Oryza sativa Japonica Group: one gene and its partner. Each later gene encodes a partner of the first gene's protein in a complex. Links are inferred from orthologs where the notes say so. Each region holds a gene or a part of one and is shown on either strand. Other genes may lie near its edges.

What was found.
Region 2: mitotic spindle checkpoint protein BUBR1 (region 1) and mitotic spindle checkpoint protein MAD2 share a complex: the UniProt entries of both Arabidopsis thaliana proteins name them as parts of the mitotic checkpoint complex. The link is inferred for Oryza sativa Japonica Group from reciprocal best matches to the Arabidopsis thaliana genes BUBR1 and MAD2.

Annotation. Positions count from the first base shown.
Region 1 is NC_089036.1:5,218,731-5,222,649, reverse strand, and holds the start of mitotic spindle checkpoint protein BUBR1, read right to left. Parts: upstream 2,790-3,919; 5' UTR 2,708-2,789; coding exon 2,463-2,707; intron 2,331-2,462; coding exon 2,271-2,330; intron 2,127-2,270; coding exon 1,982-2,126; intron 1,872-1,981; coding exon 1,714-1,871; intron 1,031-1,713; coding exon 949-1,030; intron 867-948; coding exon 800-866; intron 719-799; coding exon 673-718; intron 580-672; coding exon 414-579; intron 292-413; coding exon 206-291; intron 105-205; coding exon 24-104; intron 1-23. Other genes in the region: uncharacterized protein, read right to left, coding at 3,560-3,919. UniProt on the Arabidopsis thaliana protein: Essential component of the mitotic checkpoint. Required for normal mitosis progression. The mitotic checkpoint delays anaphase until all chromosomes are properly attached to the mitotic spindle.
Region 2 is NC_089038.1:24,797,568-24,801,337, forward strand, and holds mitotic spindle checkpoint protein MAD2, read right to left. Parts: upstream 2,358-3,770; 5' UTR 2,137-2,357; coding exon 2,064-2,136; intron 1,953-2,063; coding exon 1,937-1,952; intron 1,777-1,936; coding exon 1,646-1,776; intron 1,528-1,645; coding exon 1,303-1,527; intron 1,174-1,302; coding exon 1,052-1,173; intron 963-1,051; coding exon 906-962; 3' UTR 599-905; downstream 1-598. UniProt on the Arabidopsis thaliana protein: Required for the execution of the mitotic checkpoint which monitors the process of kinetochore-spindle attachment and delays the onset of anaphase when this process is not complete.

The DNA of each region.
Region 1 (3,919 bases):
AATATAAGCTGAACTATTCTTACTGCTTGAGGTTTCTGCTTGTTGCTTGCCTAAGCTTCAGAATAGATGGTTTTGTACTCTTTGGCACTTGGGGAACTGGTTCCCTGAAATAATCAAAGGAAGGTATATAAAAATTATACGTTTTTACAGTTACTCTTTTTAAAGAACTATTCAAAACTGTTAACTTAAGGGCACAGTAGCATACTCGGCGCATTCGTCATCTACGAAGACTTCAATGGAGCTTACACGAGTCGGCTGAACTGCTGCCCTCGATCCAACCTTCTGAGGAATCTGTTGTTCAGTGCAATACTATCATCAGTTCATTGATCATTACTGAACCGATAAACCTCGAGACATGTCGCAAAAAGGGACCTTTTGAAGAATTCTAGTGGCTTAGGGGAGAAAAAAAAAACCTTGTGTGATGTCCATTTAGCAGGCCTCATGTTATTTTCTTTGTTCCGATCTGCTTGTGATCCAAGGGTCTGCCAGGCCGTGTTGTTGCTCCTGGTTCTAGCAAGGCCATGACTAGGTAACGAATTCTCATCTGTGTAAACTGCAAGTGGCCTATTGACATCAACTCTGCAAATTTGCAACAGTATCAACACCAGTAAAAAAATTCCAGGTTCATCTAGATTTCTTTATACTGATTGCATGCGTATAACAAGTAATAACCTTTGCAGAGTTTTCACCAGGTGAGAGTTTTCTGCATGCTGGCCTCCTGCCACATCAAAATGCAACATTAGTTCACCCAGCCAGGCACTTGAAATTGATGTTAATCATACCATCACAGCAAACTTACTGATTTCACCACGGTTCAAGACAGTCCCAAAGTTGCGTACTGGATGATCATCAGTAGTTGTGTCATCCTGTTTCAACAGATAATAGAATTCATTCAGTGGGCAGTGGAATATAGATTAAAAATAGGGTACTAAATCAGCCTATGTACACCTCAGGATGTGCCTTCTTTTTGGATGATCTCTGAAGAAATGCCCTGTATGTAGTTTCCAACTTCTCCACAGGCTTTGCTTTCCTGACCAAAAAAAAAAAAGCCAAAGAATTTTACGGTTTAATATGCACCATTCCATCAAACAAAATTCATAAATAGTATGCTTTAGGTATTAAGGTGTAGGTAGAGCAGAAAATTGAGAAATTATATCATATCCCTCCAACAAAAAATAGAGAAGTCAGGAATACATGTTTTAATCTAGAACAGTTCATAAGCTTACTCCACAATCAGTTTAATGCATTTTAGTTATAATACATAGAGCTAAAATGGTGAGTGGGAATATGGAAGACTATACACCTTGCAGTCAAACAAATGCATAAATCGTATGCTTTAGGTATTAAGGTATAGGTAGAGTGGCAAGAAAAGTCATATCCCTCCAAAAACAAATAGAGAAGGTAAAAGTTTTCAGCTACAACGGTTCATAAGCTTACTCCAAATTAGTTTAATGCATTTTAGTTACTATAATTCATAGAACTAAAACAGTAAATGGGGATATGTAAGACTATATGTTTGTTGACTAAAAATCCGAAGAAAACAGACTTCAAATCTAGAACAGGAATTCTTTGTCAAAGGCTATATGGAAATTTAGAAGGAACTTATCTATTATCACTAAAAAATAATCTACTAGCAGACTAGCACTGAAGAAAATCCGCAACCTTTCTCATATCTGAAGAAACTAAACTACCAATCCCCCATAAAATTCTCACCTGGCAATACCAAGGTTAAAAATCTCATTAGCTTTCTTTAGCTTGTTCTTGGACTCCATTACCGACGCATAGGACAAGTAGTAATTGGTATGGCTCTGACCAATCTGGTTGGCCTCCAGGAACCTGAATATCACCTCGGAATCAGCACAATTCCCCGCCTGCATACAGATTAAGATCAAGCCAAACTGGATGTCAAAAGGAAACCAAACCAATCCAATCCAATCCAACCAATCCACCTCAGAACCAATCCTGAATTCATGAAACTCACATATTCCAGCCACACTTTGAGGTAGCGGAGATCGTTCTTGTAGCGGTCGTCGTGCCAGAAGGCACGCACGCACTGCTCGTAGATCACCACCAACCCGGAGCAATCCCCGCCTGTCGGAAACGACTCCTGAACCCATTTGATGCAGCTGCGTGTGGATTAAGCAGACAAAGGCATGCCATGAGCAGCAAGCTTGCGGAAACCGCAGAGAAATCGCCGACATGGCAAATCTTTCGGCTCAACCTACTACTACTAGTATACGAATCAATGAAACAAAGGGGAAATTGCTTACTCTATCCATGGTTGGAGCGGATCCTCGCCGCTGTATTCGTCGATTGCCTCGATCATTTTCCTGAATCAGTAGATCAATCAAACGTAGGACGAAAAAAAAAAGATTACCAGAGACCCGCCCCCAAATCAAGAAATCCAGAGCAAACCAAACCCAAGAACCGAGAGACGCGGGTGACGGGAGCGGCGGCGGTACCTCCGGGCGGCGAGGAGGGCGGCGCGCTGGGCGGGGTCGGCGTGCGCCTTGAGGGCGCGGTTGAGGAGGCCCACGTTGCGGCCGCGCTTCAGCGGCCGCACGTTCTCCTTGAACGTCTCCCACTCCGCGCACGGCGCAGCCGGCGGGGCGTCGCCGCACCCCATCAGCATCAGAGTCTCCTTGTCGAGCGCCACCACCGCCTCTTCCGCCGCCGCCGCCGCCGTCGTCGCCATCGCCGCCGCCATGTGTTCGTCCGGGCGCCGCTCCGGAGCCGACCGTTTGGGAGGAGAGATATTCAAATTGGAAGAGATTTTTGACCGTTGAGCTGAGGCGGATGCTGCTGCTGCTCGGGTTTATATAAGGTGAAAAAGAATTGGGCTTTTCATGAGTTGGGCTTGGAAAGTTTATGTGGGCCTAAAATTGTTGGATCTTGATTGCGTCAGCACTCACACGGCAGAGTCACTATGAAGAAATTCAGTCTCAGCCCTGTTCAGCTTGTCAGCTAATTAGCCGATAAATTCATAGATTAATTCAATATACTGTAGATTATGAAGTTAATTAATTATTTGGTTAGAAAAGGTTATCGAAACAATGCTATTGTAGAAAGATTTTTGAGAAATCATACTGTTAAAATTGTGGCCCGTCAATTCGCCGTGATGAATGAGTTTTGTTTTTTTTATGTTAATGCTGGAGTATATGTGTTTGTGCAAACATTACGCAGAAGTTTGTGATGATCAGTTGATCTTCACATGAACAGATTTAGTTTCTTAAATCACATGAAACACAAATTGTTCAGCTTTTTTCCCCAAGACCAGTTGCGTAGTTCTTAAAAGCATAACTCAAACTTGAGGCAAAGGCGCAAAGCTTCATGCTTGCTGAACTTTCTGTTTTGCCACGATTAAATTTCAGTTAAACTGATAGCACTCTTTCATATTGCACAAAAAGAACTCCAAACAAGTGCTCTAAATGTTCAAACTTCCATAATAAACGATATAATATGTCTTTGCTCTTCCATTACAATTGGTTACATATCTAGCAGGAAGCAGTAACAGGTAACTTAATTGGACTATGAACAGGCAACGAACACGCATAGAATCTCACAGCCTTCTCGGTGGCTGCATCTGTGAAGGATCCACAAGGCCTTCCAACACAACAAGCTGATCCAGCAGCGCAAACTTTTCATCCTCGAGAACGCTGGCTTCCTCTTCAGCCTGGCTCAATTGCTTGTCCAGCTCACCGTTCTCATCCTCCAGCAGCAGGTACTTCTTCCGTAACGCTCTGTATTCATCAGCTGGACCGAACTCTGGCACCGAATCGGGGGTTCCCCAATCAGATTGCGGAGCCGAATGGCGAGGTTCATTCTTGAAGGTTATCTTAGGGGCTTTCTTGGTCTTGCCGGATGTGAGTGGAACCTCCCTCCGCAGCAGCTCAGGTTCAGCTTTTATTTGGCTGGGAGG
Region 2 (3,770 bases), on another chromosome or scaffold:
TTCAAGCTCTCTGAAGATCCAAGGTGCTTTGGCTGAGTACAAAGATTACAGCCTAAATGAGGACCTGTTAGTTGCTGCCAACAGGTCCTGGGGTTCCTCTGGTTTATATGTAAATGTAAATGTAGCTCTGTAGCATCTTGGTGTTAGTTAGTTTCCAATGTGTTTGTTACCCATGCTGATACTGGGTTTTACATTTGTCACAAATAGTCTTGGAAGCTGGAAACAAATACATTCATCAGAAGTGTAATTTGTCCGGACAACGAAGGTTGTCTGGCAAAATGTAAGATTTCTGATGGATTGTTGCAAACAGCCTTGGAAGTTCCGAAGCTGGAATAAATTCATTCAGCAGAAGTGCATTTTGTCTTGAGATTGAAGATGGTACAAAATTACTTCTAATTTAATATGCAAGTTTTGACAAGAAAAACGGTGGTCGATATAACATAAACTTTGAGGATACGGCTGTCTTGAGATTGAAGATGGTACAGAATTACTTTTAATTTAAGTGCATTTTGTTATTCACAGAGCATATGACTTCAAAACACCTTGAATCTTTTGAGATTCTGAAGTGAGAAACAACACATATAATTGAACAACACAGTGAAGAAATCGTGGCACACGATCACGATGCATTCAACTCCAGTGGTACTTTCAACCCAGGATTTCAAAGGCTGAGGAAAAAAAAATCATGGTGAAGCAGCGATACACAGTCGATTCTCCCAAAATGCGGTAAAGAACAAGAAAAGGGATTCTCCCAGAGCACACGAGTTCCGATAGGGCTAGGGCGTGAATGAACGAACGATTCACACAAGCATCACGCCTAGCAAGCTAAGCTAGCTAAATAAGCTAGCAGCAATAAACTAGCAAGGGGGTCTCCTCCTCATGGCTCCAACCTCCACCGGCGGCTTCTACTCCTCGTCCCACTCGTCGACCTTGTAGGAGACGAGCGTGTCCACCTTGTGAATCTGCCATGGCAAGAACACGGCGCTGTAACGTCAGCAATCTGGGAGAGGCAGCGAAAAAAAAGAAACGGAGTCGATTCAGTGATATTCACCTTGGTGTCGAAGGAATGCAGCTTCACCATCTGTGGATTCTCGATGAGCTTGGCGTCGCTCTCCACCCAGGTGAAGGGCACCGCGACGTCCATGTCGGTGTACGCCAGCACGTCGAATATGCCTGCAAAATCAATCAATCAATCAATCAATCAATCGACGAATGCGGATGAGCTGGGAGGAATTGGGGGGGAGAGCAGAGGCGATGAACACTGAACACTGAAGAAGTAGAGGTGGTGGTAATGGCGCTTACATGGCTCGTCGAGGCAGGGGAGGTAGGTGATGCAGGAGGCGACCTGGCGCATGATGGCCTGGATCTCCCTCATGATCTCCTTGTCGCTCTTCTCCTTGATGACACCCTTGTCGACCACCTCCGGGTCGGTCTGGATGCTGAAGTTCCACCGCTCCAGCACCTCGGAGGTGGCCTTGCTCATGATCACCAGCACGATCCTCTGCAGCTTCCCGGCCTCCAGCCACTCTGCGCGCGGCAACGCAGGAAACACAGGCAAGATCAATCAGCAGCAGCAAAAGAAAAAGAAAAAAGAAACCAAATGGAGACAGGCAGGCTAGTGATCCGGTGAGTGAGGCCAGACGACCTGAGAGCTGGGTGTTGAGGTTGGCGATGAAGGTCTTCACCCCTTCGTCCTGCGTCAGCAGCATCGTGAGGCCGTACTTCTTCACCTTGGTGAAGCTCTCCTCCGGGTACACCCCGCGGTTGTACAGGATGCTGCGCCACGCACAAACCAAGAACACAAAACACCCCGGATCAGAAATTAACCCTGAATCTGCAGCAACCGTTTTTTATATTTTTTTTCTTTCAAAGGAAACCAGCATCAGCGCAGCGGCGGCCGTCGATCCTGGCACCCGCAACCGCGCGAAGCGCGCACCTGTTCGCGGCGTAGCCTGCCACACGAGAAAAGGCATTCGATCAAACACCTATCGGGCGCGCGCACGCGTGAGAGGAGCCGAGGGCGAAAAAAAATAAAAGAAACGGAAGCGGAGATCGGCTTCTACCGAAGAACTCGCTGACGATGGCGGCGGAGCCCCGCAGCGTGATGATGTCCTTGGACGCCGTCCTCGACGCCATCTCCTGATCCGCCTCACCTTCTTAACTCCTCCTCTTGCCTCCCGTGCGGCGGCGGCGGCGGCGGCGGATGGGGGGAGAGGAAAGAGGAAAGGGGGGGAAAAGCCGGGCAAAGGCAACGGCTAGTGTGGAGCGGATCGGCTGCGGGCTGCGGCGCTTGGGAACTTGGGAGCGTTGTTTGTCGATGGGTCGTGTTGGGTCAGGTGCGGGGGAGAGAAGGTGTCGGCGTGCGGGTGGGTTTCGGGAGTTTTTAAAGGTGGGCCGGACCTGCGCTCCCAACGGTCGTGTGGGCGGTGGGCCAGTGGGCTTCGGTTGGCGCGATTCGCCCAAGCCGCGCGCTCTCTTCGAGTCCTTTACCTCTTGTTGATGATGAATTGTACTGGTACCAGTAGACTACTAGTAGAACCGTAGAAACACCATTTTCTTGGAGAAAATGCTCCTGGGTGGCTGGGTTTTTGAACTTGTTCGGACGGTTGGCCTTTAGGGCAGTCCCAACCCATAACACTAGACATAGTTTTCATAAACTCTACATCATCAAGAAATTAGTACTAGACACTACTCTTTCAATATAAACACCACTATTCCATACTTCAATTTAATGCAATTTATCTTACATGATATTTTGTGTAGAAACCATATCTCATGCAAGACATGGTTTCCTTCTCTTTCCTCATTTATTTACTTGCCACATCATTTTTTATCCTAGGTGGCAACTTATATAATGTTATGGACATCATCCTAGACATTGGGTTGGGAATACCCTTAGAAACGGAGGGAAGGTATTTGCCCTTTGCCGCCAACAACCCCTATTTGCCCTCATATTCGTCCGTTTAGCACAGTTATAACTTACCAAACAATTTTGGTTTCACCAAAAAAAATAGAGTAAAGCTGGTTAGAGTGTTCTCGCAAAATGAGCGTCTTACCAAACGAGACATCTGTTTCTTACTGTTTTTCTGGGCTTATTCGGCCGAATTGTAAATCGAAAAGTTTATTCTTCACCAGACTAAAAAAATACGCTTATTCATTATATTATCAGAGCATATCATTTGATTCACGGTTTGGAAAATTATGTTTTGAAAATACAAAAACTTATACTGTAGTCCTTCCATCACGGCACAACAACTTTTTTCCATGTCTTGTAATATAAGGTGTGTGTGCATGCATGCACATTAACTATCACCTCTTAGTCCTTTAAATTTGGTTTGTTTTAAACCATCTACCATCAAGCCCCCAATCACACTGCTTGCCTGTACGGATGTGATCTAACCGATGCGATAATCAAATTATTTCTCGGTCTTTTGCGTTAGAAGTGATTTAGCCTAACACCCATTTTGGCATGTAGGGAGTATTACTTAGACCACTCATTTTAGACATATTTTATCTTAAAATATTAAATTAACCACTATAATCGGTTATATAATGGCGATAATAATATACTCAATAATCTAAATATAGTTTTTAATATATTTGTGAACTATGTGATTCTATACTAAAAACTACCCCTATGCCTTAAAAGCCACTGACTAGCACTGACATTCTGTTTGCCTTTTGTTTGAAAGTTAATTTGGATGTATTTAAAATTCAAGTAGGATTATATTGTTTCGGTAGAGATTATTTTTCAAGAGAAAGTTTCCTTT